Linked DNA regions of Rhinolophus ferrumequinum. Each later gene encodes a partner of the first gene's protein in a complex. Links are inferred from orthologs where the notes say so. Each region holds a gene or a part of one and is shown in the gene's direction. Other genes may lie near its edges. The genes, in order: GNAI1, HCAR1, C3AR1 and RGS1.

What was found.
Region 2: the proteins of GNAI1 (region 1) and HCAR1 are in contact, whole or in part, in a cryo-EM structure (PDB 9IZD), measured with the Homo sapiens proteins. The link is inferred for Rhinolophus ferrumequinum from reciprocal best matches to the Homo sapiens genes GNAI1 and HCAR1. Residues at the interface, in NP_002060.4 of Homo sapiens: Glu28, Arg32, Leu194, Asp315, Thr316, Glu318, Tyr320, Phe336, Thr340, Asp341, Ile343, Ile344, Lys345, Asn347, Leu348, Asp350, Cys351, Gly352, Leu353, Phe354; in NP_115943.1 of Homo sapiens: Lys48, Ser50, Thr51, Leu54, Arg113, Lys116, Val117, Pro120, His121, Asn125, Thr126, Ser128, Leu203, Arg206, Gln208, Leu209, Gln212, Arg214, Met215, Lys217, Ala218, Phe221, Ile222, Ser281, Ser282, Pro283.
Region 3: the proteins of GNAI1 (region 1) and C3AR1 are in contact, whole or in part, in a cryo-EM structure (PDB 9IPV), measured with the Homo sapiens proteins. The link is inferred for Rhinolophus ferrumequinum from reciprocal best matches to the Homo sapiens genes GNAI1 and C3AR1. Residues at the interface, in NP_002060.4 of Homo sapiens: Glu28, Ala31, Arg32, Glu33, Val34, Lys192, Asp193, Leu194, His195, Lys314, Asp315, Glu318, Tyr320, Lys330, Phe334, Phe336, Asp337, Ala338, Thr340, Asp341, Ile343, Ile344, Lys345, Asn347, Leu348, Asp350, Cys351, Gly352, Leu353, Phe354; in NP_001313404.1 of Homo sapiens: Asn57, Arg120, Val123, Val124, Pro127, Ile128, Gln131, Asn132, Asn135, Val136, Tyr356, Ile359, Arg362, Met363, Arg367, Phe368, Lys370, Gln372, Lys374, Thr375, Val378, Ala379, Leu438, Gly439.
Region 4: the proteins of GNAI1 (region 1) and RGS1 are in contact, whole or in part, in a crystal structure (PDB 2GTP), measured with the Homo sapiens proteins. The link is inferred for Rhinolophus ferrumequinum from reciprocal best matches to the Homo sapiens genes GNAI1 and RGS1. Residues at the interface, in NP_002060.4 of Homo sapiens: Val179, Lys180, Thr181, Thr182, Gly183, Ile184, Val185, Gln204, Ser206, Glu207, Lys209, Lys210, His213, Ala235, Glu236, Asp237, Glu238; in NP_002913.3 of Homo sapiens: Ser105, Glu106, Phe107, Ser108, Glu110, Asn111, Ser143, Asp144, Ala145, Ala146, Gln148, Ile149, Asn150, Ile151, Asp152, Phe153, Arg156, Leu181, Lys184, Asp185, Ser186, Arg189.

What each region holds. Positions count from the first base shown.
Region 1 is NC_046303.1:44,057,749-44,065,142, reverse strand, and holds the start of GNAI1 (guanine nucleotide-binding protein G(i) subunit alpha-1), read left to right. Parts: upstream 1-4,382; 5' UTR 4,383-4,668; coding exon 4,669-4,786; intron 4,787-7,394. UniProt on the Homo sapiens protein: Guanine nucleotide-binding proteins (G proteins) function as transducers downstream of G protein-coupled receptors (GPCRs) in numerous signaling cascades.
Region 2 is NC_046308.1:4,884,429-4,891,145, forward strand, and holds HCAR1 (hydroxycarboxylic acid receptor 1), read left to right. Parts: upstream 1-4,260; 5' UTR 4,261-4,944; coding exon 4,945-5,976; 3' UTR 5,977-6,209; downstream 6,210-6,717. UniProt on the Homo sapiens protein: Acts as a receptor for L-lactate and mediates its anti-lipolytic effect through a G(i)-protein-mediated pathway.
Region 3 is NC_046293.1:24,655,169-24,662,913, forward strand, and holds the start of C3AR1 (C3a anaphylatoxin chemotactic receptor), read left to right. Parts: upstream 1-4,733; 5' UTR 4,734-4,936; intron 4,937-7,745.
Region 4 is NC_046310.1:5,294,650-5,302,404, reverse strand, and holds the start of RGS1 (regulator of G-protein signaling 1), read left to right. Parts: upstream 1-4,738; 5' UTR 4,739-4,740; coding exon 4,741-4,880; intron 4,881-5,244; coding exon 5,245-5,325; intron 5,326-5,763; coding exon 5,764-5,825; intron 5,826-7,165; coding exon 7,166-7,329; intron 7,330-7,755. UniProt on the Homo sapiens protein: Regulates G protein-coupled receptor signaling cascades, including signaling downstream of the N-formylpeptide chemoattractant receptors and leukotriene receptors. Inhibits B cell chemotaxis toward CXCL12.

The sequences.
Region 1 (7,394 bases):
GGGCACTGTCTGTGAAGCTACTTGAGGAAGACTGAGTATTGCCAAAGGTGCATTGCCCTTCAGGAGAATACGGGTGGCCAAAGCCAAAGCTCTGTCTCTAGATGCTTTCAATCAGTCAGTGTTCTGGTGTCCGGGGTGGTGGTAGTTCCATGCTGAGACCATGGCCTCTACCTTATCTCAGTCCCACAATGTTGTAACCTGCACACTCAAAGAGAGCTGCTTGCCTTATAATATCTCTCAGTAATAATTCAGTGGGCTTTTTTTTTTTCAACCTTTACCCACAATCTCACAAAATGGTTTTGGTTTGGGGCCCTTATAGCTATAACTATAGAAGAGTAAAGATGCCATGCTAGCCCCTCTATTCTCCTACTTATTCCTGTCCTCTCCCCAAACCAAACTCTCTCGTGATTTAGAAAGCAAAAACCTCAATGTAGGCAACAGAGAGGTGTCCACATGCCACATCTGCTCCCAACTGAGCCAGCCGAAAATACACACTTCCCTTCTGATAATCTCTCTCTCTCTTTCTGTCTGACATGTTGTCCTCGCTCTGTCTTCTTCTATTGTTCCTCCTTATCCCTGCACTAATCCATCAACACCAACACATCTCAGGTGCACAATTCTTTCTGGCTTTTGCTTGGAGGGATAAAATTGAAGGCCAGAAGAAGTTTCTGAATTTTTATCTCAGGTCTGAGACTAAGTCCATAAACTTCTGAATAATATATAATAGAATCTCAAGGTTGGAAGGGATCCTAAAAGTTCACCTATCTCTAGATCATTCCCGATATGTGATCATCCAGTCTAGATTTTTACATCTTAGTCAAGAACGAATATGTTTCTGAAGTTCCCTATTCTCTTTGGGGTGGGGTGGAGGGTGGGGAAGGTGGGGTGGATTATACATGGTTTTTCCTCACATCAAGGAAAAATTTGTTTGCTGTAGCTATCTTCCAACACTTCTAAATCTACCACCTTGAATCCAGACAGAAAATGTCTAATCCCTCTGATTTATGATGTCTCTTCAGTCATTTGGAAATATCTGTCATGTCACTTTGTAGCTTCTAATTCCTATATTAAATACCCCCAGTTTCTTCAATTATTCCTCATGACTCAGTTTGGAGTTACTTTAAGTACTGGATGCTCTCAGCCGAATGTGTCCCAATTTGTGATTTAACATATGTCCCTAACTCTCTAGCATATGACGCTCAGTATTATTCAGCAATAAAAAGAACTGAAGTATTGATACAAGCTACACATGGATGAACCTTGAAAACGTTATGCCAAGTGAAAGAAGCCAGTCACAAAAGATCACACACTATGTTTCCTTTTATATGAAATATCCAGAATGGGCAAATCTAAACAGACCCAAAGTAGATTAGTGGTTGCCTAGGACTTGGCGGTGGTGGATGTCCTGGAGAGATTGGGGGGTAATGACTATGGCGTAGGGGGCTTCTTTTTGGGGTGATGAACGTTCTAGAATTGATCGTCATGATGGTTGCACAGCTCTGTAAATATACCAAAGCCATTGAATTGTACACTTTAAATGAATAAATTATACGGCATATGAATGATATTTCAATATAGTTGTTTAAAACATGATGTGCAGAAGAGAATCAAACAGTAATCTGAAGTAGGTTGCTTTACCCTCTGTATTTCAGTTTCATTCTCTGTAAAACAGATGAGTTAAAAATACCTGCTCCACCTCCTTGACAAGGTTGTTAAATCACATTTTGCAAACATCATAATTATGTAAATTATTAATTTGAATGACTCTTACACCTCATATCTGGGTTACTAACATAAGCCATTTGCTGGTAACTCATTTGTTTTGTTGGGTAAGAGATTTCTTTTCTAAACACCTATTACCCAACACAAGAGAATGAAAGGAACGTTTTCTTCCCATTTTATAAAGTCCAACTCTTCACCTTAATATTTAAAGCTACCTTCCAACTTTGTCCTAGGCTTGCTATCATTCTTCACAGCTAAACTTCATTTCAATTATAAAACGATTGCTTTCTCCAACATGTACCTTAATACTGCATATTAACCCTTTTCGCTGTTTTTTTCCTCTCGAACGAAACGTACCGTTATGGACTAAATATTTGTGTCCCCTTGCCAAGTTCATGTGTCAAAGCCCTAACCTTTGGGAAGTGGGGCCTTTGGGTGGTAATTAGGTTTGGGTGAGGTTATGAAGGTGAACCCCTCTCCCCATAATGAGATTAGTGTCCTTATAATAAGAGGAAGACAGACTAGAGCTCTTTCTTTCTACGTGTGAAGGCACAGCAAGAAGGTAGCCATCTGCAAGCCAGAAGGAGCATCCCACCGGAAAACTGAATGGGCTAGTACTTTGATCTTGGTCTTCCCAGCCTCCAGAACGGTGAGAAATAAATTCCTATTGTTTTAGCGACACAGTCTATGGTCTTTTGTTATGGCATTGTGAGCTGACCTACACATACCCCTTGGAAACTCCCCACCAATCCCCAGTCATGGCTTCCTTCAAAAGTTTTTTTTAAAACTTTCTTCTCTTGGAATTTCTCCCCATACTGTTCACTCCATACACTGCATCTTCTCATATAAAGCTACTTTTCAGTTCTTATTCACCCATGTATTATATTTTAACTCCTCACCTACTTGACAAGTTTCTCAAAGGAGAGGGGTAATGTGTATAATTATGTTACACCTTCTTTTCTCCAAAGTACAAGTTTTGTAGTCATTTACCAATAAGTACTCAGTCATGATTACTTCCTCTTTTCCCACAATTGTTGATCCCACACTCTCCACGCCTTGAAGCTTATAGGAAAGACTCACAATAACAGATAATCCAATATGGCTGATACACAAAGACTATGTTGTAAATTCACTCAATTAAGTTTAATTCCAGAGTTTCTGATGAACACCCACATTTAGATGGCCAAGCAATACACAGAGGGTAGAAGGTGATTAAGTACAATTTTAGGCTTGCTCCTTTTGTTGTTACATTATAGAAGGTCATAGGAAAAGTTGAGGCAGTTCTTGCAGTTGCATCTCTAGAGCCCAGCAGTTTTGACTTTTGTAGAACAGGAAAGGACATGTCCAATGAGGAGGAAACTAGCAATCTCTGCAAGCCAGCAATCTCTGGCTTATGTGTGACTCACTCTAAAGCTATACTTGCTGTAGCATCAGCTCAGCCTTACCTTCGTGGAAACAGTTTTTATAAATCGTTTTTAGAAAACGAGAGTTCCAGATGGGAACCAAAGAGCAACTTCCTAATTTTTAATACATCAAAGAAAATGTTTTTCTTTACTCCCAGCCCCATCGTATGATCCACCAACATTCTCTGCCATGACGGTAATGGAAAGGTGTTGTGCCACTGAGAGGAACCAGACCTTAAACCTACAGCTTATTCATTTGCTGTTGGGTGAAATGCATCTGCAACCTCAGAAGCTTCTCCCCAAACCAGTTAGAGCTAGAAGGGTGGAGAAATAGCGTGAATCAAGGCCATCTCATTTTACGGGCGAGGAAGCTAAGGCCTACGAAAAGAAACGACATCCCCAGTGGCTTATGATTTACTAACATATTCATAAGTATTGGTTCACAACTTGGCTTGGAAATTTACAGGACACCCTAGAAGTGGGCGGTTATGGTGTGGGGCAGATTTGTTTGTGTAGGTGTTTTATTCCCCTTGTCATTTTAAAATACACTCTTTGATACTTTGCCTCCCATTTTCTCGGGTTATGAAGAAACCCTTCAAAACGTTCTCTGCCTGTGCAATGTGAGGCTGGAAGGAGGGAATGATGAAAGGAAGGGGGGAATAACAGAACGAAGGAAAGGCAAACTGAAGGCAGTGACCTCCTATCCTTCTCTCGAGACTTTCCTGATTCCCCGTGTTGCCATCTCTGCTTTCTGTTTCCGCCACGGCTCCATTCCCTTTCCAGCTCCCTCTATTTCCCACAGTCCTGAAGGCCAGCCGACAGAGGTTTACATTTCCAGAACCTTTGCGTGGCTGCGGAGCTGGGCATGCTCAAACGCCCGAGACCAGCTTCTTTTCGGCTACCAAACTTTGGCAGCTCTCCCACCCATAAACCCGAAGAGGCAGGCATTTCCGCACAGATCCCTGGGCGTGAGCAAACGGGAAGAAATTATCCCACTCCCGCGGAGGGAGCGAGGGAGGGGAGCCCGTGGCCAGTCGGAGGTTCCGCGGGCTCTGCCACGGGGCGCGCGCGGAGGCGACCAGCGAGCGACGCCGCGCGGGACTCAGCGGCCCCGCGGGAGCGCGCGCGCCCGTCGGAGGGGGCGCTGTCCGAGGGCACGTGCGCGCGCGGGAGCGCGCTCTGGGGGTGGTCCCGCGCTGGCGGGAGGGGCGGGCGGAGGCGGGGCCGCGGCGGGGCGGGGCGGGGCCGCGGCGCTCTGCCCGGCTTCTCCAGGCTGCGGCGCGACTGCGGGGGAGAGGGAGGGTGGCAGCCGCTGTGCCCGGAGCCTCAAAACCGGGACTTCGGCGGCGCTGAGGGACGCCAGCAGCGGAACCCGGCCGTGGGGAAGAGCCGCGCGGCGCTGTTTGCTCCTTCGCTTTCCTCGCTCGGTTTGGGAAGTGGGTGGGGGTGTCGTGGCCGGCGGCGGGAGAGAAGGAATCACCTGTGTTCCGAGACGGCGCGCGGGACTTGAAGGGAGCGGCGGCCGGCTCTCGCTCCTGGCACCATGGGCTGCACGCTGAGCGCCGAGGACAAGGCGGCGGTGGAGCGGAGTGAGATGATTGACCGGAACCTCCGCGAGGATGGCGAGAAGGCGGCGCGCGAGGTCAAGCTGCTGCTGCTCGGTGAGGGCGGCGGGGCGCCCCGCGGCCCCGGGGGTCGGGCGGGTGGGCTGGGCGCGGCGCGCGGCGGGGGACGCTGCGGGCCCCTCGGCGCTCGGAAACCCGGAGGGGCCGTGTCACAGCGGCCGAGGGCGCGTCTCCGAGCGCCCAGGAGGGTTCCCCAGCGGGAGCTTGTCTGGGGAGGTGCGGAGCGGGGGCGGCCGCCTCCCTCCCTCCCTCCCTGCTGCTGGCCGGGGAGAACTCGTCCCCGCGGGGAGCCGAGGAGCGGAGCTTGAGGAGCCCCTTTTCGTGGAAGTTAGCTTAGCTTTATAAAGACGAAGGGGCATCAGTGACGGGAAAATAACAGCACCTCCCGCCCCGAAACCCTTCGCACGTGGTGTGGTGTCGCGGTTGGCGTTTTCCCACGGCAAGAGTGCCACATTTTGTGAAATCTGTGCACCTTTCGTGGGGCCTCCGTGGGATTGAAATTTGTCTTTCCTGTTAACTTCCTGTGGCGACTCAGTGGTAATGGAACACTGATAACGTTTACCCGATGACATTTGCGTGAAGAGGTGGGCGACGCTGGATGCTTGGTTTTTGTCACTGTGGGGACCGGGAAACCATCAAAGTTGGTAACGTTTGCTCCAGTAAGAGAACTCGAGCGGTCAAAACCGATGTGCAGGTATGAAAGGGATGCGCCGGACCCCGGGGTTCTCTGTCCGCTGCCATGCTCTCTGATGAATGAGATTTTCCGGGTACGACGCCAAGGCTTTTTATTTGTTCTTAGTATTGTGCTCTTGGTGACACGCCGTGTGGAGGTCTTTTCCGGTTGTTTCAAGGGAGATAACATAGAAAGAGAAAGCCAGGGTGTTGACGGAGGGGTACACGAGGAAAATATTGACAGCGAAAGATTTGCAGATGTCTGAGTTAGGTTTCCTTTTGTTTGCTTGCCCCCGCCCGCATCCCCACACGCACACGCTGTAGGTGTTCAGGCAGATGAAAGGTTTCTCAGAATCTTCATTTGCACTCCGAGCTGTTGCTTTTATTTTTATAACAATTATAACGAAAAAGAAATGCTGCACAAATCTGTTTTCAGTAAGCTTCTGTTTCATTGGTTTAATGACGGCAGGAAAAAATGGTGCTTTTATTTTTCTCTCTATTACTTGGAGGCTTAGAAGCAGCAAACTTGGCATGACTAAAAGTAATAATGATCTGAGTCATTTTGCAAGCAAACTGAAGTAACCGCGTTTTAAAGACCTGGGTGGCTTTCTTCATCCTCGCTCCCAACATAAATCGTTCTTAATGCCGTTTACTAAGTTTATACATTCGTGAGAAATACTTTATTTTGCCAAGGTCAGTGTATGTTTTAGTACGTTGAGCGCAGAAGAGAAACACCTCGGTATGGAAACATGTAGGTGCTCCTTTTATGAATTGAATGTGCTGTGCTTGACAAAAATGAAACAAGGAGGATTAAAAAGTTCTTGCATTTCTGCATTCCTGATAATACTATTTCAGTGTACTGCAGTTTGAACCAGCCATCTACCATGTTTAAAGCAATTGAAAAATAAGTCCTCTGGTGGTGGTCTGAGCTTTAATTCGATGTCTGTCAGAGAGAGATGACTAGGATACAGGTCCAAGGAGTGGGTTTTTCCTCATATTCAGAAGAGATCACTGTTTCTCAGCCTTAGCACTATTGGCATGTTGGGCAGGATAATGCTTTGATGCGCACGTTGTCTTGTGCATTGTAGGTTGTTTAGCAGCATATTTGGCCTCTACCCGGTTAGATGCCAGTAGCAGCCCCGGTAACCTGTAACTCTCGAAAATGTCTCCAGATATCCCCCCAAAAGCCTCCTGGCAGCAAAAATTAACCTCAGGCCTAGAACCACTGTTCTAGATTAACAATTAAATAAAGTTGAATGTGTAATGTAGAATCAAAAGTTGCATCTCTACAGCTAACTATAGCGAGATTTATGAGAGGTGTAGCAGAGCAGGGATTTTCAGAAGAAATCACGGAATTTTTGATTCTCCATCCCAGTGACATTAGAAATATTTCAGAATGGTTTTTAAAATCTGTAGGTAAGAGGATTCCCTCAGCTGTCTCTTCTACCTTCAGTCTTTTTGTTTTTCCCCACGTCTCTCTTCTACGGAAGTTTTGTCCTGTTGGCCCAGCACTGCTCTTCCTCCCCCCCTTATCTGCCTTACTCCACCCTTTTGCCCAGTTCCAACACCCTAGTTCCTATAAACAGAATGCTGGCTGACTTATTTCATAAATCTTAATCCTTGGAATGTTTGAAAACATTTATTTTTTGACTTTAGCAGTGAAGTGTTGATCTTTGGTTGTTTTTTTTTTTTTTTTTTTTTTTGGATGTTTAAGCAGCTCAATAAAATCATTCCCTATAAAACAGAGCGACTGAATCAACTAGAAATATAAAATGGTCTCTAGGTAACCCACAACCAATGTCAATTCCATTTACATTAGGTCTTCTTCCTCTTCATTGTTTTTCTCATCAGATGATTTTTTTAAATGTATTTAAGGTACAATGCCTCCAAAGTGCATTTAAGACAGTGGATTAAGTAGTTCATCATATTGCATTTTTTCTTAAGACATGTATTATGTTTTTAGACATCTGAG
Region 2 (6,717 bases), on another chromosome or scaffold:
AATCTGAGGAGGGAGGTCATGGGAACCTCGAATGGTAGCCAAGTCAGGCAGAAATTGTGGGTAACCTGGGGACCCACATCTTGCAACTGGCATCTGAAGTGGGGAGCAGTCTCGTGGGACTGAACCCTCAACCTGTGGGGTCTGCACTCACTCTGGTTGGTGCCAGAACTGAATGGGAATTGCAGGACACTCAGTTGGTGTCACACAGAATGGCTTAGTGTGGGAAAAATATCCCACACACTTGGCGACAGAAGTGTTGTGAGTGTGGCAGTAACGTGGGGATAAAGGAGGCACCCACAAATGTGTCTTTTCAAAATACTACCGCAGACAGTTCCTCCTCCTGACACCTGCCAGGCAGCCCCCGCAGAAATGTCCACTTCCTGCCCCTGTCACGTATAAAGAGAAGAAACGTTATATCGGAGGAGTTGGCACGGCAGGGCCCAGGAGCATGCCACGTCACCTGGCTGGTGTGTCCACAAGTTCTTTCAACCAGCCCTTCCTGTTCAGGGGTGTGTCCTCACAGCCAGAAGAAGAAGTAAATTGCAAAGGTCTGGAATCATTTGTTCACTGGTTCACTCACTTACTCAAGACATACTGAGCATGATGGCAGGTGTTGGGCTAGGTGACGGGCATGCAAAGCTAAATCAGACCCAGTGTTAGTCTTCGCAGAGATGAAGAGCTGGGGGAGGACACACAAGTAAACCCTTATAATACTTCGTGGTATGTGAGTGGCAGAGATGGTGCAGAGAGGAGGGCTTAACCCAGACCGGATAGGGAGATTCCCAGAAGGCTTGGGGGTTAGAGGACGTAGTGTCCTGGGATTCTTATTTGGTAACCACAAGTGGTTTTAAATTTTAAATTAATTGAAATGAACTAATACTGAAAATTCAGTTCCCACTAGCCCCATTTCAAGTGCTCAAAAGCTACATGTGTACTACAGAACATTTCCATCCTTGTAGAAGGTTCTATTGGAAGACACTGATCTAGGCTGATGCTGACAAAAGAGGAGTTATTCAGGACTATGAGGGAAGGAAGTGTGTCCCCAGCGGTCCCTGTAGGACAGTCTTTGGATACTAAATACAGCCATGGCTCATGTTGGAGCCGTTGAGGCCAGTTCTGTGGAGCCTTATTAACCATCTTGAATTCCCCCGCTAAGGACAAACCCAGAGTCACTGGAGCATTCGACCAGATGAGTAATGACAGCAGATTTGAGTTTCGGAGAACGGATTGGAGGAGGAGCAAGACAGGCAGCAGGAGGGCCCATCAGGAGGCAGCTGCATTCCTCCAGAACCTTGGACCAGCCAAAGTGGTTACAGTGGGCGTGGCGAGGCTTAGGGCGTCTGACCAGCAGAGTGGAGATGATGGTGAGTGAGGAAGAAGAGGGAACCAAGCTTATGGCTTCAGCTGTTTGGTGGCTGGCACTAAGTTCCTTTGGTTCTGGTGTGGAATCGGAGAAAGAGGTTTGAGAAACTTTTTTTGTTAAGTGTTGATGCTTAAGGGAGTGGGGCTTCAGTTATCTGGATAATATCCCCACCAAGGCTCCCGTTGGAACACACTAGAAAGAGAAAACACAGGTTCCAAGCCTGCAGAATTCCCAAGTGACAACAAGGGACAGTACTGTGTCCTCAGGGCTTGCAGGATTAGGGGAGGGGCGGGAACAAAAACCTGTTCCTGTTACTGCCATTCTCTCTTTCAACTATTCACACAATCCTTTACAATACTATTTACTTAAAAAATGGCTCCCCACTGCCACTGAATTCAAGGTCTCCTGCAAAACTGCCCCCACTCAACGGTGGTGGCCTGTTTTATTCCTTACAGTTCTGTGAATAGACTCCAAATTTCAAAGTCCTCCAATATTCCTCATATACCTCCTCCAGCCTTACTTCTTCCATGATCTGCATTTTGTCTGGAATGTCTGTTCCTTCTATTTCTGCCCCCTAGAAATGTTAACAACTCTTTCTCACAAAACTCCAATGTGTGTTTTTTAAACACACATTAAAATAAAGTCATAGCTGTAAAGTCAAAACACATGTGTATGTATATTACTCTGTGTCACCTAAAATAATTTTGCCTATCCTCTGTGGTGTGCCAACCACATTTTGGAAAATATTGCCTTAAGCTGCTTATTCTGTTTGCTTTGCTTTATTGTTATTTACGTATTTGTCTTATTTCCTCCCCTAAAAACTGAGCTCCAGAAGGCAGGTAATAGTTTCCTCATTTGGGGAACCCTGAAAGCATCTAGCAAAAACACCTTGAGGATTCACTTAATACACATTTTAATTTTATTTTTATTTATGTTATTTTTACACTTTAATTTACTTTTTTTTTTAGGTGACTTGGTATAGAACAATATATTAGTTTCAGGTGTGAATAAACCATTTTAAATCAACAAAGCCTCTACTTTGCATCAGGCACTGTAATTAATAGCTAGGACTAAAAATAAGATCAGTAATAAAACCTGGTATAAATTCTTTTAAGGCTATATTTTTAGAGCAGTTTTAGGTTCACAGCAAAAAAGATTTCCCACATACCCCCTCCCCACACATTATCAACAGTAGACTTTCAGAGAAACATATCTTCTCTTCCTAAATCCTCTGCCTTCCAGCTAATTCTACAGTCAGAGAGAGAGAGAGAGAGAGAGAGAGAGAGAGAGAGAGAGAGAGGAAGGAGATTTGACAAGACAGAAAGGATGAGGAAAAGAAAGGCCGGTGTTAGTCACGCAAGAAAAGGAAGCCCTTGGGTTTACAAGAATCTGGAGGTATCTGCTAACACAGATGAAGAATATTTTCCATTTGCTGAAAAGTCCAGCCTGACCTTCTTAAGGTATTCAGAGTTCCCCAGCCAGCCTCATCTTGGGGTGCTACAGCCTACAACAGTGAACACCTCCTTAGAGAATCACGAAGGTCCCCCTCCCATCCAGTGAAAGTGGCTGCCATGAGCTCTCATGAAAAGCAGGACTTAGTTATCCAGATCTTTATTCCATCCTGCCAAGAAAATGGAGTTTGTCTCCAAGGACCTTTTGGATTAGTGGGGGAGCTAAACGTGGACGTTGGATGGACACACTTATTTATTAGAAGTTATGAGACTAACAAGTGAGGAGGAAAGTGGCAGGAAAGGTACTTTGGGAACCATCTGTGAAGGGCCTTGTATACTAAGCCAAGGAATGCGATCTTTAACCTAAGGCAGAGGTGACAAACTCAAAATTCCAGAGATCAGGCATTTGAATGAGTGAAGCTGACCAGGTAATAGGGAGTGGTGGGGGCTGTGGCAAAACGGAGCTGCCCCATCTCAAGGGGGCAGCTACTCTCAGCTCTGGCCGATTGTTACTATGTGGGATTTTTGGCCAAGTGTGGCCAGATCTTCCAGTTTCCCAGGAGAGGCTGGAAATACAGGTTTTTTCTAGGACAGTCCTAGTTTTTTTAAACATGTGGGCCAAATCGAACCGGTTTTCGAAACAGATACGGCTCACAGGCTCTATAGCTATCACCTTGGCAGATCGGAGGGAGCTAATGATGGCTGTTAAGTGAGGGGAAAAAAAGGGATATGATCATATCTGTACTTCAGAAAAAAATCACATTGTAGTGTGGGAGAGGAATTACAGGGAATGGACTAGTTTCAACAGCTAGGAGGTAACAGTGGTCGGTGCTAGGGCAAGGGCAGCGAGTAGGGAGTGTTGTCAGGCTAATTGGGAGTCTAGGATTCAGAGGGAAGAATTTAGTTTTAATCAGCAACGGAAGAAGGCATGCATGCTTCCAAAGCACTCCCTCTTCGCACCCCTCTCCTAAGCTGGGAGCTGGAAAGCCACACAGGGCACGTAAGTCACTTCTACAGTCAAAGGACAGGAAAATTTAGCAGACTCTGATCTTTGGTGCAGTCTAATTTTACCCATGATTATTTTAGAGATAGACTCTTGGACCAACGGTCCCAAACTTCATGCGTCCCCACCAAAGGGCTCAGCACATAATTAAAATTAAAAACCAATGTATCACGGTGCTTGGCTCTTTTGAACAGCCAGTGGGAAACTTAGAGCCAAATCCTCTTTTGCAAACAGCAGAGGGAGGAACTGGCTCCCACAGAGGCTGTTTCATGGAGACGGACATATGAGAAATGGCTTGGGATGCACAGTCTTGTTGGTTGTGCAACTGGTCACTTGGATCCAAGGAAGGAGGCAAAGGGTAGGAGGTGTGAACGGAGGGGAGGAGAGGCGGAAACACTTCAAAGAACTTTTCTAACACCCAACAAGTGCGGTTTTTAGAACTTTTTTCGTCCACAGACCCTGCTGATCTTTGAGGGTTGTTTTTGGGTGTGGGCACAGGAAATGGCTCTGAGCCTCGGTCTCTGGCACTGCCTGGGAGTGCCCCATGGGATGAGGGAGAGGACGGGCAGTCAGGCAAAGGTTAGGGAGGAAAGCAGTGCAGAGGCCCAGATTGGCTGCAGGAAATGTTTGTATTTCTCCTCCGGGAGGGAGGACAAACAAACTCTTTTCGTGCCTTCTGGGCAGCTTTGCGGCTCTCCAGCACAGAGAGAGTCTGCGGGAAAAGAGTGAGGCTGGAAATAAAAATCGTTCTGGGGCCGGACCCAACAACTCCTCTCCAGCATGAATCTCATTGGACCTCCCGGTTGCTTCTCAGAAATGACCACTTGCACGAAGTTACATGCATTTCAAAGTCTTACCATGCTACATGCTCGGACTGTTGGGGAGACAGGCAGCTTGTGACCCAAGCTCTGGAGAAAGGACTTCCCTGAGGCTCTCATTTCCTGGCTCAAGTTTCTGTTCTCCGCTGTGGCTGCATCCACCCACATGTGCGGTGGGTACCTGCATCCCAGGGTGAAGAAGTTAGAAAAATAGCAGCTGGGTGAGTGGCAGCCTTCAGATAAGCACCTGTGTCTTTGTGGGGACTCCAGGGCTTGCCTGGCACACGGAGCATTTGTCCTCTGTCCACCATGGACAACGGGTCGTGTTGCCTCATTGAGGGGGACCCCATTTCGCGGGTGATGCCACCGCTGCTGATCCTGGCATTTGTGCTTGGTGCCCTGGGCAACGGCATCGCTTTATGTGGTTTCTGCTTCCACATGAAGACCTGGAAACCCAGCACTATTTACCTTTTCAACTTGGCCGTGGCCGACTTCCTTCTCATGATCTGCCTGCCCTTTCGGACAGACTACTACCGCAGAGATAGACGATGGACATTCGAGGACATCCCCTGCCGGGTAGTGCTGTTCATGCTGGCCATGAACAGGGCGGGGAGCATAGTCTTCCTCACGGTGGTGGCCGTGGACAGGTATTTCAAAGTGGTGCATCCCCACCACGTGCTGAACACCATCTCCAACCGGACTGCGGCTGGCATCGTCTGCGCCCTTTGGACCATGGTCATCCTGGGGACCCTGTATCTTTTGATGGAGAACCACCTGTGTGTGCAAGAGAAGACCATATCCTGTGAGAGCTTCATCATGGAGTCGGCCAACGGCTGGCATGACATCATGTTCCAGTTGGAGTTCTTCCTGCCCCTCGGCATCATCTTATTCTGCTCCTTCAAGATTATTTGGAGCCTGAAGCAGAGGCAGCAGCTGGCGAGGCAGACTCGGATGAAGAAGGCTATGCGGTTCATTATGGTGGTGATGGCCGTGTTTGTCACGTGCTACCTGCCCAGCGTGTCAGCCAGGCTGTATTTCCTCTGGACGGTGCCCTCGAGTGCCTGCAACCCCTCTGTCCACGTAGCTCTCCATGTCACCCTCAGCTTCACCTACATGAACAGTATGCTGGACCCCCTGGTGTATTATTTTTCAAGTCCCTCGTTCCCCAAATTCTACACCAAGCTCCAAATCCGCAGTTTGAGACCCAAGCGAACAGGACGCTCCAAGACACAGAGGCCAGAGGAGACGCCGATTTCAAACCTCTGTCGCAAGAGTTGCACCAGTGTGGCAAATAGCTTGCAAAGCCAATCTGATGTGCCGTGGGGTCTCCACATGTGTTGAACCGGCACTGAAACAGACAGACAGACAAAGTCGAGGACAGACTGGCGACTTAGAAATAATTTGTGCTGAGGGGTTGAGGGGCTTTGAAAATGCTGCCCTTTCTCAACTCTATTCTCACTCTGTTGGAAACAAAGTTTAGGCTACGATGCCTTTTTGGAAGGTCCCAGTCGAGAAGTGAGTTTATATGATTTTTATTACAAGGATAGGGGACAAGGGGCATGTGTGTGACGGGCGGGGGGAGGTGGGAGGGGTGGGACTAGGAAGAGCTCGGCCTCTGTGCAATTTTAACCGCCTGGGTAAATAGGTACAAGTGTTTAAACCGGTCGTGTCCTCTCTCCGGGGGGGAGTTAGTGAATTTAATGACTTATCAGTATTTCCTATCCTCCGACCTTAAATCATTACTTGTCTTGGAAAACAGAAACCGGACTAAGTCAGTACTTTTATGTCAGGCTGAGTGAGGCTCTGTAGGTTGGAATGTCTTGATGCCCATGATTTTCATCTGGTGTGTGTGTGGGGGGGGGGGGGGGGACTCTGTTCATTTGACTTCTCAATAGCCCAAGAATGACAGCAAAACAATCTGCTCTGTTTTTGGGCTCCACATTTTTCTGCAAATCTTGGCATTTCAGAGACCATGCTGAGGGATATGTTTACCTGCCCTGATTTTTCCAGTGGGAGCTGAGTGCTTGAAAAAAAGTCCCCTGGCCTTTGGGAAGTGCGGAGTCCAGAGTAATTGCTTTCACC
Region 3 (7,745 bases), on another chromosome or scaffold:
GGTCTTGTGCTCTGTTACAGTGGGTGTGCCCTGACGGGTCTGGAAAAGGAGATTACTGATATTTCAAAGGTCTGTTATCTTAGATGCAAAAGGCAGTAGACAGGCTCACTTAAGGTAAAGATTGACCTTTGTCAAGGAAGCTACAGGCCTAGAATATGACTACCCTCCATGACCTGCTTTTAGTTAGGAATTTTAATGTTCAGACCATCCTGTGTGCTTACTTTCAGTCTCTGAGTTTGTAGGGCCTGTCATGCTGGCCTCCCGTGAGCTTATCAGGTTTAGTGCATAGTCCCTTTTTTGACCCAAAAGTGTATTTTATTCTCGCCCCCCCCCTTCTTCCGCCTTCCCACCCCACTCTGGTTCAAGCCGTTGTTTCTCAGTCTAGTTGTGTAGGACACCGTGCCCTGGCCCGTGCTGGTATTATGAGACTTGCGCTCCCCCAGCTGAGGCAGTCAGTCGCCAGTCGTTGGTTGGCCACTGGCTGCCAGCCACTCATGCTGGCCACCAGCTGCTCATGGCGGCACACAGTAGCCCACGGCAGCCTGTGGCAGCACTCAGCGGCCAACGGCAGCTCTTGCCAACCTCTGGCTGGTCACAGCAGCCCAGCTCCAGGGAGAGCTGTTGTTCACAATCTTAGCTCTAGAGGGCGCAGCTCACTGGCCCATGTGGGAATCCAACCAGGGACCTTGGCTTTGGGAGCACGGTCCTCCAACCACCTGAGCCACCCGGCAGGCCCAGTGTCTTTTATTCTAATGAGGCAATTCTGATTGGGCTCCTGGATAGCTCCTGGATGAGGACTAGTCACCAGAAAGACCAATCCATGATTAGATGCGTGGAATTTTCAGCCTCCATCCCCTAATACTCTTAAGAAGGAAAAGAGGCTAAAAATGGAGTTAATGATCAACCACAACTACCTAATAAAGTCTCCATAAAACCTCAAAAGTTTGGAGAGCTTCCGGGGACCGGGGAAGGGGGACACATTCACACTCAGAGGGTGATGCAACCCCAACTCCAAAGGTACAGAAGCTCCTGCACTCAGGACCCTTCCAGACCTCACCTTATATACCTCTTCATCTGGCTGTTCACCTGTATCCTTTATCATCTCCTTTAATAATCTGGTAAATGTAAGTGTTTCCCTGAGTTATGTGAGCTGTTCTAGCAAATAATCAAATCCAAAGAGGAGAAAGTCATGGAAACCTCTGATTTGTAGCCAAGTCAGCAGAAGTTGGGGTCACCTAGGGACGTACTAGTTGAGATTGGCATCTGAAGTGGGGGACAGTCTTGTAGGACTGAGCCTGTAACCTGTGGGATATGCTACTATGTGCAGTTAGAGATAGTGCCAGGTCCCACCCATTTGGTGACCAAAGTGTCAGAAGTGGTGTCAGCTGTGTGAAAGTAAAGGCGACACACAGGATATGAAGAACTGGGTTTTTCCCTACAGAGAGGGAAATAGTGGTTTTCTAACCCAGTATATTTGTAACATCACCTTCTTTTGCATGCATTCTAGTGGAAATGAAATCGGTAAAGAAAGGCAAAGGAGAAAGAAACTAAAGAAGACATTTTCCAAATAATGCACAAATAGGATAGCAAACCTAAAAAAAAGAAAAGAAAATCAATCAAAATTTACTCAAAAGTTTATCTAGATCTACAAAATTTATGAGAGCCATGTACCCCTTGATAGTCCTGAATTCCATGCCCCGCCGCCTAAAGTTCCTATGTTTTCTCATTAGATTAGATAAACACAAATTGATGCCTTGTGCCTTGTCCACTTTCATTTTCATGGAACTAAAGTCACAAAATGTGTTAATGAAACTCAGTGTACTTCCCCTTCACTCTCCCTTCTTTAGCAGTCCTAGATGCATACTATAATAGAAAATTAATAACCAACAAATAAATAGAAGAAGCAAAGTTTGTTAAATTTTCTTTAAACCACTCAGATTTGACCTATTTTTCTTGCTAAATTAGGTTGATTTCTTCAAGAGCCAAGCATGACTGCATTAGATATTTGTTATTATGATGGGATTAACCACTTTTTTAATATATATATATACTTTTCAACTGAATTTCTTTAATTTGTGGGCAACTTTTGTGTTCTTCAATTTGTGTTCCTACTTGGTTTTATTGTCACTGTGCATAATTAATTAGGCAGTTATACGGAACGGAGCAGAAGGTATATCTAATCCACATCCTTGAGAGCCATGGTTAGGATTTGATTGGACAAAAAGCATGTGACTTAACACTGGCAAGGGAATATTTTGTAGGTTATTTGATACATGTTCAAGATGGGAGACTGGTTTTAATCTTATAGACAACTGGAAGCCACATTAGTTTTTTTGACATAATTGCTAACATTTACTGAGTACTTATATGCCAGCACTGTTTTAAATGCTTTGCATGTTGCATGTATTAATTCATTTACTCTTAACAGTCCTATGGAATAGGTACAGTGAATATTTTCTGAATTAGTCATTGCCCAGCCAGGAAACAGAAACCATTGTATGTACTTCATATAGGGTATTTAATACAAGGATTTGTTTTAAAAAGTATTGGAAGAACTGGAGAAATAAATGGGGAGAAGATGACATAACTGCAAGAAGCTGCTTTCCTAAAATTGGAAGACAAAAGTGGAAAAGGCTGTTACCTAGAATGGATAAGTGTGTACTTGGCTTGGAGACTGGGCGCTCTTGCTGCTGCTTAGCAGGAATCTAGGAAGTCACAGGCCCGTGGCTGTTACTGGAACCAGTAATTCTGCTAGAGCCCACAGTTGCCAACAGCTGCCATGGCCACACCCACCATTTCTATTATACCGTGTTTCCCCGAAAATAAGATGTAGCTAGACCATCAGCTCTAATGCGTCTTTTGGAGCAAAAATTGATACAAGACCCGGTATTATATTATATAAGACCCGGTCTTATATTATAGTAAAATAAGACCAGGTCTTATGTTAATTTTTGCTCCAAAAGACACATTAGAGCTGATGGTCCTACTAGGTCTTATTTTCGGAGAAACACGGTAGGAGATCATCTCTATTGTAGAATTGTCTGGAGTTGTAGGAACCAAAAGCTAAATGATTCCCCTTTCAAGCTCTCTCTCTCTGTTTTATTTTAATAGTTTTAATGTTTATCCTATTGCTGTAGATTTTGTTCTTTTACTTTTAAAATATGAGGTCTGGGCCGCCCGGTAGCTCAGGCAGTTGGAGCTCCATGCTCCTAACACCAAAGGCTGCTGGTTCGATTCCCACATGGGCCAGTGCCAGATGGCTCAGTTGGTTGGAGCGCAGGCTCTCAACCACAAGGTTGCCAGTTCGACTCCCACAAGGGATGATGGGCTGCGCCCCCTGCAACTAACAACCACAACTGGACCTGGAGCTGAGCTGCGCCCTCTGCAACTAAGATTGGAAGGACAACTTGACTTGGAAAAAAGTCCTGGAAGTACACACTATTCCCCAGTAAAATCCTGCTCCCTTTCCCCCCACACAAAAAAAATAAATAAAATGCAATAAAATAAAGTACAAGTTCACACAATTAAGTTCACAAACTTGTTGCCATGATGTTACTAACCTTTTTTGATACCAGAGGGATTATTCATTATAAATTTGTACCAACTGGACAGTTAACCAAGTTTGCTATTTGGAAGTGCTGAAAAGGCTGCATGAAAAAGTTAGAGGACCTGAACTTTTCACCAGCAATTCATGACTCTTGCGTCACGACAATGCACAGCTCAACGGCACTGACTGTAAGGGAGTTTTTAACCAGTAAACAAATAACTGTACTGGAACACCCTCCCTGTTCACTTGATCTGGCCCCCAATGACTTCTTTCTTTACCAGAAGATAAAGGAAATATTGAAAGGAAAACATTTTGATGATGTTCAACATTTTGTTTTATCAAAACATTTTGATAAAAAACATTTTTATCATCATTAAATTTAAGGCCAGTGTGATAAATAAAACTGCCACCATATCAACTACAAGATAAAATGTGTCATTGCATAATATGAAAAGAGGTTCAAACTACACACACAAAAAGAAAAAAAAATTTGAAGCTGAAGAACTAATTTCTGGTTGGGATTATTAGAGAAAGTTTCAAGGAAAATATAATTTTTGAACTTGATCTTGAAGAAGAGCTAGGATTTTAACAGGGAGAGATTAGAAATGCAGGAAAGGGGAAGTTAAGGTGAAGGACATAATTGCAGATAGAAGCAAACAGCATTCATTAGCCATAGAACAGAAAATGGCATTAACTTGAAATAGTGAGTTGTTCATAAAGCTATGAAATAGAGTACATTTGTAGCCTCCTAAGGCGAGTACTTCGAGGGTGACCACAATGATATTCAGGATTGAGGTATGTAGCACTTTTTCTAGGATGAATTCGTGAACTTAATTGTCCAACCTTGTATTAAGCATGTAAGTGATATTATTTGAGATTTATTCCATGGGGCTGTGCAGGTCATTCCTCCCAACTACACCCCATCCCCACCCACACATACCATAGGTGATTGTGGTGTATTTCTAAAACAAAAACAAAAGCAAAAATCAATAAAGTGCGTAGCTTATGTACAGAAGTACTCTTTCTAACCATGCTCCGTCCTGCAGAAAATGTCCGAGAATTACACCCTCCCAACTTCTGTTTTTTTCCTTTACTTATCTGTAAAGTGACTCACTTTGAAACTCTTCTTGTGAAGTCAAATAGTAGTCAAAAGTGTGAGGTTCGATTTATCAACACAGATGAAGAGAGAGAGAGGAAGGAGGAAGAGCTCAGCAAATTTCCTAAATAAGTTTTCCAACCACACTTGACTGTGGTTAAGTGTGAAGATCAGACAGGACTCGGGGAGGCCCCCAGCTCTATGCTGAAGCCTTCAGCTACTGTCTCAAGTTTTTGGTAAGGAATCCTGGATCCAGCTGGTCACTTGTGCCTCACTTGTTTTGCTCCTTATAGGTAATGGTTGGAGGGTCATTATCTTCTATTTCTCCTTATTCCTTCTCCAACTTATACTTCTTTTGTTTTCTCCCCGTGTGCACCTTTCTTTTTCTAAACATTCCACATTTGATTATCTTTGCTCTTCATATTTTCGTTCTAGAACTAATAGTGATTTTTTTATGTCATTTCCCCTCCTCTCTTAAATTGACTGTTTCTCCATCTGACCTTTGATTCCAGTTTTCCCCAATTGTCTATTTTTTCTTTGTATATATATTTTTTTCTCATTGTATTTCCCTCTCTTTTTCTTTCTTTTTTTAAAATTTTTTATTGAGGAATATTGGGTAACAGTGTGTTTTTCCAGGACCCATCAGCTCCAAGTCAAGTCGTTGTCCTTCAATCTAGTTGTGGAGGGCGCAGCCCACCATCCCATGTGGGAATTGAACCAGCAACCTTGTTGTTAAGAGCTTGCGCTCTAACCAACTGAGCCATCCAGGCACCAACCTCTCTTTTTTTTTATATTCTTTTACTTATTCCTTCTTGCTACTTACTCTGTCATCCTATCATTAGTATTTGATTCTGGAATCCACTTTTCTTTCCCTACCATAGTTGAATTTTAGTTTCAGGATTTTATTTATCTTATTAGTTACTGCCAGTCAATTCAGTATTAAAAACTAAAATAAAAGAAAATTCTCTACTAATCTTAAATGTAGAGGAATTTTTCAATCAAAACCCTAGGATAAATGTGAAAAGTGATCTTGTTCTGAAAGACTTTAAGATTCTGATTTATATATACTTTCATTTCAAAACAGATAATATGTGATATTTAAAATAACTCATACCGGATGACCCAATTTCTTTACATTGGAATGTGGCTTCTGTCAGTCTTTAATACTTCAATTTGTGCAGCTCTTGATACCCTTGTTAGCAATACCAAAGGCTTCTAAGTTACGTGATTCTTTGTGGTAAAAAGGAATTGGTCTGACACACATGGGACCTAAAATCTGAGAACCCTCTTAGTTGTATAGTAAAAGTCACCTAATTTTCTGAGTATCAGTGTCAAAACTGCAAAATGAAAAGTAGAGACAAGGAGAAGTGATTGCTACGTTTCCTTTTGGCCCTAAGAGCCTATGACTATCCTTTTCTGAACATTTTATGGATCTATGCATGTATATGTGTGTTGGAATAGAACAGTGGATCAGGGGTGTTGCCGTGCAAAACAGGGAAGGAAGGGACACTGACAGGACTTGAATATTTGAGTATGCGAGGCAACAGGAAAGATGACAATCACTTCTTTTTATTATTTTGCTGACTTAGTTATTTTAACTACTGCTAATTAAGACCCTACAACAACATTTGGTTAACTCAGCAGAACTATTTTCTAGTCACAAAAATACTTTGGGGCCTTTATAAAAGGAAACATAAAATGCTGTTACAGCCAGTAAGAATTGGGAAGTAGAAAACAAAACGGAAGTTAGAGCAGCTGTGGGCTGCCGTGTGCTGCCGTGGGCTGCCGTGGGCTATCGTGTGCTGCCATGAGTGGCCGGTGGCCAGTGTGAATAGCCAGCAGCCAGCGTGAGCGGCTGGCAGCCAGCGAGAATTGCAGTGAGCTGCCTGCTGTGAGCAGCCAACCACCGACCAGCGACTGGCTGCCTCAGCTGTGGGGGGGGGGGGGGGGGAGGGAGCACAAGGGCCAGGGAGAGCATGGGCCAGGGCCAGGAAGCTCTGTCCTACACAACCAAACAGAAATAATCGGCTTGAACTGGAGTGGGGGTGGGGGGAGGCGGAAGAGGGGGAAACGGGGGAAAAAATTTAGTTGAAAAAGAAAAAAATTCGAAGCTGAAGAACTAATTTCTGGTTGGGATTATTAGAGGAAGTTTCAAGGAAAATATAATATTTGAACTTGATCTTGAAGAAGAGCTAGGATTTTAACAGGGAGAGATTAGAAATGGAGGAAAGGGGAAGTTAAGGTGAAGGACATAATTGCAGATAGAAGCAAACAGCATTCATTAGCCATAGAACAGAAAATGGCATTAACTTGAAATAGTGAGTTGTTCATAAAGCTATGAAATAGAGTACATTTGTAGGAGTCTTCAGAATTAGGGGAAGGTAACATCACAGGCTAAGAGAAGAGAATGTTAAGGAGTCAGTGTATCACATGACATGTATTATATTGTGGAAGATGGCAACAGAGAAAAGGATGCTTGAATTTATTATTTAGAGGTAATTTTAGTGGAGCAATGGGGGCAGAAGACAAATTGTGCAGTGTTAAGAAGTGAGTGGTGAGAACAAGAGACCCCAAAACAAGCCAATATCCTTGAAAAAGAGAAACTAGACTAACTTAAGAGACTTAAGAAACATAACATCCTGATGTAAGTGTGATCCTAGATTGGATATAATTGTGGGCAAATTAGATATAAAAGATAGTTTTGGGACAGTTGGAAAAAATTGAATAAAGATCGAGTATTCCTTAAGGTACAATCTTGCTGTATAATGTAGAGACTGGTAACTGAAAAAAGAAAGCAGTTTATAAAACAATATGCATTTAAACCCACATTCATAGCAGCATTATTCACAAAAGCTAAAAGGTAGAAGCAACTCAAATGTCCATCCACAGACGAAGAGATAACAAATGAGGTCTATCCACATAATGGAATATTATGCAGCCTTAATAAGGACAGAAATTCTGACACATGCTGCAACATGAATGAACCTTGAGGACATTATGCTGAGTGTTATAAGCCAGTCACAAAAAGATGAATGCTGTATGATTCTACTTTTATCATAGTCAATGGCATAGAAACAGAAAGTAGAATGGTGATTGCCAGGG
Region 4 (7,755 bases), on another chromosome or scaffold:
AGTAAAGTTTGTGAAATCAAGACATTTTGTTTCAATGGGTCAAAATTTCTGTTCATGTCACTGACTCTTATGGTATAAATACATTTTTGCTTTTAAGATACAATCTCGTGGGCAGAGGACATGAATAGACATTTTTTTTAAGGAAGACAGAGGCCAACAGACATATAAAAAGATGCTCAACCTCACTAGTTATAAAGGAAATGCAAATCAAAACCCCAATGGGATATCACCTCACACCTGTTAGAATGACTATTATCAATAAGACCAGAAATAACAAGAGCTGGCAACTATATGGAGAAAGAAAGAACCCTTAAACGCTGCTGGTGGGACTGTAAATTGGTACAGCCATGAAGGAATACACTATGGAGGTTCCTCAAACAATTAAAAACAGAATTGCCATAGGATCCAGCAATCCCTCTTCTGGGTATCTACCTGAAAAATTTGAAAACACTTATTCATAAAGAACAAGGTACTTTATGTACCTTGTTCACTGCAGCACTACTGTGGCCAAGACATGGAAACAACCGAAATGTCCTTTAGTGGATGATTGGATAAAGAAGATGCAGTACTATCACACAATAGATTGTTATTACTCGGCCATAAGAAAAGATGAAATACTGCCATTTGTGACAATATAGATGGACCTTGAGAGTATTCTGCTAAGTGAAATACATCAGACAGAAAAGAACAAGAACCATCTGATTTCATTCATATGTGGGACATAAAACACAAAGCAACAAATGAACTAACATACAAAGAAAACAATGAACTCACAGATACAGATAACAGAATGATGGTGACCACAGGGGAAGGGGAGACAAGCACAGGGTGAAGAGAGTAAAGGGGGACAAATACATGGTCCCAGAAAGAGACTCGACTTCGAGTGGCAAGCACACAATTGAGTGTTCAAATGTCATATTACAAAGTTGTACACCTGAAATTTATATAATGTTACCAGACAATGTTTCCCCCAATAAACTGAATAAAAAAAGACAAGAAAAGCAGGCCAATAAACTTTTTTTAAAAGATGTAATTTTGTACTGATTATTGTCCTTTTTCCTCACAGTTCCAATGTCCGCAATAAAATTTCAGCAACGTTATAAAGACTCAACATCATTTTAATCAATACCAAGGATGAGAAAGTCATTCAGCAAAGCATTCCCTAAAATTCAGGGAGTTGGGGTTATTGAAAGCAAAATGTAAAACCAACTCAACAAAGATTAAAATTGACCCCATCAAATTGATAGCCATTATCTGAAATGTTTTACTGAAGCCATCTCCTAGACTTTTTAAAATATAACACTGGGATTTTTAGGGCAAGGAAACGATTCTGCATGACATTATAAGGGTGGACACATGTCATTATACATTTGTCAAAACCCACAGGATATACAGAACTGACAATCGTAATATATGAGGTCTGACAATTAAGTTCATGAACTCATCCTAGAAAAAGTGCCACACACCTCATTGCTGAAGATCACTTTGGTCACCTTCAAAGTACTCCCCTTGGGAAGCTATGCACTGACGCCAATGCCCAGTCAACCCTTCAAAGCAATTTTGGAACTCTTTCTGGAATGGCCATCAGAGCTGTTGTTGTATTACCCTTGATGTCCTGAATGTCATCAAAATGTCATCCTTTCAATATTTCCTTTATCTTCGGGTAAAGAAGTCATTGGGGGCTGGATCAGGTGAGTAGGGAGGGTGTTCCAATACCCTCCCTACTAACTTTGTATGTTAGTTATCTGTTTACTGGCTAAAAAGTCCCTCACAGACACATGTGAGCTGGTGCATTGTCGTGAGGCAGGAGCCAAGAATTGTTGGCGAAAAGTTCAGGTCATCTAACTTTTTCACACAGACTTTTCAGCACTTCCAAATAGTAAACTTGGTTAACTGTTTGTCCAGTTGGTGCAAATTCATAATGAATAATCCCTCTGATATCAAAGGAATGTTAGCAATATCATTGCAACAAGTTCACGAACTTAATTGTCAGGCCTTGCACACTACGGATTGTGGGTAATGATAACATGACATTGGAGGTTCTTCCTTGGTTTTAACAAACAAACCACACTGACTGATGTGAGGTGTTGTTTGGGGGGCAGCCTGTGGGGTGCAGGGACGATGCGGGAATTCTCTGTACTTTCCACTCGATTTTGCTGTAAATCCAAAACTGCTCTAAAAATAAAGCATATTTTTTAATATATATAAAAAGATAACATTAAGACCACATGAAGTATTACTTTTCTTAAGACTCCAACCTTGTTTCTCATGCACAATTTCACCAAGAAATATACAAACAAGAGGACCTTTCTGAGAGCCACTCTTTCTTCTACTAGCTTTTACCAAATGCTCTACAACTTCAACCAAAGGTATTGACTCAGTAAAGTTATTATTTGATCATCTGTCTTTTGTTAAAGAGGAATCAGACAGGGACACTGCGTGCAATAGATAGGGAACGTGCAATGCCTTGCCATGGACCCGTGAACCCTTGCAAATAGAGCTTCCTGGACTCTGGGCTTCCTTGGCATATAGGGCTTTGCATGTGCTAGCGAGCAGCCTTCGAGAGGAAGACGCTATTGCTGTGCCACTGAGGTGGCTTCAACAGCCAGTTGTGACAGAGGAGTTTCAGATGGACCCCCCCTATTAGGAGTTTAATTCTCTATTTGGGCTTAGAAGTGTGCGACTGCAATTGCTTGCAAATGTTTGAGCTTGAAGGTCTGTAATGAGGTAGCAAAAGGTGGGAGGTTTAGAGGAATTACAAGGTGACTTATGGCTGTCTCAGAGGTTCCTAATGTGGTGTCAAGAGAACATGATTTCTGCAAACTATTTTCCCTACCGAAGGAGGGTTCATTTCCCAAAAAGCATAGGAAACCACTGCATATTCTACCTTCCTTTCAGACACTGACAAATGTGCGTTCACACGTTACAGGCTCGCAGATCTGCGCTGATCAATTTAAGAACCGTATTCGACTTGGACCCACCATTTCCCAAACTTTTGTGGCCGCAAAATCATTGCTGCTGCTGCTCTTATAGTCCTTATAATGCTTCCTAACGACCGAAGGAACTAGTGTTGCAGAAGCATACTTTGGAAATTGTGAGTAGATATGGAGGATAATAATAACAGGAGGCCATTCAAAATAAACATTAAATCCTTTTGCTCTAACTCACAATTTTGTCGGGGAATGAGAAGTTACTAGATACACAAACATGAGACATGCTGAAGATTTTAACAGAAAGGTGAAGCATGGCCTGAACCACAACACAGACCAAAAAAAAAAAAGGCCTTTATGTCATTGTTCTTTGAGCCCCATCATTTCTTTTTGGGTCACAAAGTGGCCAGCTTATTTCACTAGTTCTCTTTCTTAACGCATCATGATGTTATCTTCTGAACACCAAGTGATGCTTGCTACACAGAATATATGTTCATGGCTTTGTAGGAAGTGGGTTTCAAAATATGATAAGCATGATTCCTTCAATATTCCTTATCCTGCTGATAGAGACAAGACAGGAAAAGTCATACTCTCTTTCCTTTTGGCAGCTTTGCCTATTACCATCAGGAGCCTAAGTAAAATTTGTTTTTTTTTCAGGGATAAAAACCAAAAGAGGTTTAAGTTAAACTGGATACTACAAATAAACCACACTCTATATAAACTCTATAAGAGATGATATTGTACTAATCCCTCTACCCTGATCAATGATTAGTCATCTAACTCCTTGGGATTTCTTTTAAATCCTTACTCTTAATTAAAGGTACACTTGAATCTCCAGAGATATTGCCAAAATTCAGAAGTTTTCACCTAAGGAATACACATTATTGGCCTTTCCAAATATACTCTTATTTTACCATGAGCAGTGTTTTCTCTGATACTATGCAATTCTTTACTATCAGTACGTGTATATACTATGCCATATTTCTGTGTTAAGTATACTTTTGTTTACAGTTTTGTTTTCATTTTGTTTTATTCTTATCCTAAGCAGTGATATACAAAAAAAAAAAAAATCAAACTCTGATAGGCTAGTTATATTCCTAATAAATGTTAAAACCACTAAAATCACCCCTTTAAATCATCTTGGATATCACCAGTAGAATGTCTAGCACACACCTGGGAAAACACATGGAAATTTCTTGCCTTCAAAATAACAGATGAAAGTTAAGATAACCTCTCATAACTCTCCTTCCTATAAGATATTTGCACAGATAATTGAGGCAAAAAGGATTTGTTTACACTGCTTCCTGAAAGGAAAAAACAAAACACAAAAAAGAACTCTTTTTAAAACACTGTGATCGGATGAACTTTATAGTCAAGGATGAGCCAAGCATTGAGAGACTATGTCTCGAGTACTGAGTTTCTATGGGACCCAATAAATATGCCAAATGAGACATTTGAGTGAAACATGCTATTGTTAGGAAGACAAAAGCATCACCTAGAACCAAAGACAGAAGCTCCTAATGCTTTAGACGTATGGTTTTGTGTGTGTGTGTGTCTCAGTGGGTTTAATTTTCTGGCTTTCTTTCTAATCAAGTGACCTGTTCTTATTTGGTTAAGTTTCAACCACAAAGCATCCCTGCATGCTTTTTTTTTTTTCAAGACACACGTCACAGCCAGTGAGAAAGGGGGAACTTCCAGTGCCTGTGGTAAAATCACTTGATAAACAGACTCGCCGAGCAGCATGTGTCTGCTTGCCCTCACGATATATAAGCAGCAGACACGCTGACACGCAGACATTCGCCCTGAGAGGATGATGAGAACGGCAGCCATCTCCACGCCAAGGTTAGACAAAATGCCAGGCATGTTCTTCTCTGCTACTGCAAAGGAAGTGAAGGGAACCGATCACTCCCTTCTAGAGGACAAAACGCCAAAGAGGAGGCCTAAGACTTTGTAAGTCCCGTCAGCATCTCACGTCGTGAATTTTGACTTAGATTATCTTTAATGGCAGAATGGAAGACAACAGAAGCCAGCCGGTTAGCTAGATCAGAGTCATGACCTGGTGTGTGAGCTCTAAGGATATATCCAGTTGTTTTAAAAAATGAGTTGTGATTAGACATTACAGTAGGTGGGGATTTGACCAGACTTAAACTGGTTCACTCTTCGTATAGTAACAGGGTGTAGCAACTATTTTTATTATTGCCTTATTTCTTGGAGAAGTGTATTTCAGCTTCTCTTCTTACAAATTCATTTCTTTTTACAAATGAAGTGTTTTCAACTGATGAGCTCTGAATACTCACTTTTGTGTCTTTCATAGTGGAATGGACGTGAAAGCGTACCTGAGGTCTATGATCCCACATCTGGAATCTGGAATGAAGGCTGCCAAGTCCAAGGACATGTATGTACAGATACACTGTCACTATAAAAGGGGCCTGTGCATTCGCTGTGTATGTTAGCCAGAGATTAATATGGCACATTGATGTGACAAGCCTAAGGAGATTAGCATACTAGTGCCACTGTAAATTAAATAAGAGCATGTGTGTATGCATGTATTTGCTATTCCTTATGCTGCTAGAGCACCTATTTTATTAGAGCACTTGGATTTTTCAGATTTAATTGGCGGATGTTTTCATCTAGCAATTCTATATGAAATTTTATTTCAGTAGCAATTCTAAGGCAAATTTCGTTCTCTTATAGATAAACTTTAATATAACTTATTAGAACTATAGTCTAAGTGTTGGTGAAGTTCTCAAAATGCAGGAGCCTTTGCTGATTTCACTTGTGCTTCTGAAAAAAATATATTTTTACTAATTGATGTAAATCTTGCCCCCTGCAGACTGTCTGCTGATGAAGTAATGCAGTGGTCTCAATCTCTGGAAAAACTTCTCACCAACCAGAGTGAGTACAGATTAACTATTGAATGTGTCTGATTTAGCTCAATACGCTAACGGATTGAAAGGCTTCATTAAGATACAGTATTTTGGGGAGGGGAGTGTATGAAAAGCCATATATATTCTAGTTTTTCTGTAGTCACTGGTAGTTTCAGCATATTATGCCTTGTTGTCATGGCATGTTCATTTCGCACTCAATTCTGCCACTGACAAAATTGCCAAGACAGTTAGATGCTTCCATGGACCTGATAGGTGCAAAATGAAAAATTAGGCTGGGGTTCTGATGTTTAACATTTTTTAGAGTGCACCAAACCTCTCAACATGTGAACTGCTGTTCTGAAAGCTACCTAAAGAATATTTTTGCACCGCTGGATGTACGGAATAGTATTCATTCAGTCAGTTGATTATTTTGTCATTCACATATTCCATGAGCTCCCCTGTTCAGTCCACTTTCGTGCAGCAAGCATTTTAGAAGCACCAAGGATTCCAAACCAAAGACGGTGCCTGGCTGCCCTAAAGGCAGTTAAGATGCACAGTATGTAATTGCACCATATATAACATAGCACACGTTATAACACACACACGATAAAAGCAGTTCTCAGACACAGAGTCTAGTGGGGCATCTCTGATGAGAGCACATAAAGAAAGACATCTGCCTGTCCTACCCTCATCATGACCACTGATCCACCGAGATAAGGACCCTGTTAAAGGGTGTGGATAAGCTGTGTGTCTCTCCAGAGGGTGAGTTTATGCTCCTCTCCCCACAAACCCCTAAGGAGCCTTGCTTGGGGATCAGACAGTTCAACCTGGTTCATCCATCTTATTATCTGACTTCATTTACAATTCAGCCCAACAAACAGCATAGAAACGGCCCATCTGAAAGTTGCCATAACACTAGCAAATATAACAAGTGTGTCACACATAGGTCACATAGAGGCCTCGTATTTTCCAACTCATGAATTGGATGGGAAATTGTATTGGTAACATGCTGTTAAGGCCCTTTGTCAATGTTTGCTTCCCTAAAATACTTTATATGGGAGAAGAGATTTGGAGAGCAGGAGAGCAGGATTTTCATTGAATTAGCAGATAGAAGCAAAAGCAGTTTCATAGCCACCACTAGGCTGCTATGTGACTGTGACCAAGTCTGTGTGGCCTCAGATAAACTGTAAATGAAGGAATCTCTAAGGCCCTCCCGTCTCACGAACTGTGACACACCTATTTTAGCAGCAACCATCTCTCACCTACATAGAGAATGCAATAGCATTTTTCGTTCATATTTCTTCTTCAAGTTATTCCTTTATTGGCTCAATTAACGTAAATATCTCACCTCTCACTCTTTCTTTTTAGCTGGTCAAGTTGTTTTTGGACGTTTCCTCAAGTCTGAGTTCAGTGAGGAAAACATGGAGTTCTGGCTGGCTTGCGAAGACTACAAACAAACACAGTCGGACCTCTTGCGTTACAAAGCAGAGAAAATCTACAAAGCTTTTGTGCATTCAGACGCTGCTAAGCAAGTGAGTATCAAGTTCATTATCATCGGTTTATAAGCGAAGGAAATTAAATGCAGACATGACATTCCACATACAGAACAAGATGAAATCCTATATGAGTATCATGATTTCACTGCTATCTGTTTAGGTATATTCATGTAGTTTGGCGCAATGATAACCTAATGTTCTACATTTGTGACAAGATTGGATGAAAGACTGATTTTGCAAAGCTAGCTGACATGATGGGGGTGGGTAAGGAACTATAGCATCACTGGCAAGAATTGAATCCCAGGGAGTTCTCGATGAGCGAGCTCACCTTGGGTGAAGACAAAATATAGAACAGTGTAATCCATACGCTGCAGCAGCAAAAGTATTTCCAGTTACTAGAAGTGCCCACCTTCCGGTTAAATATCCACAAAACATAGCTGCACAAAGTACCCTATCCTCCTA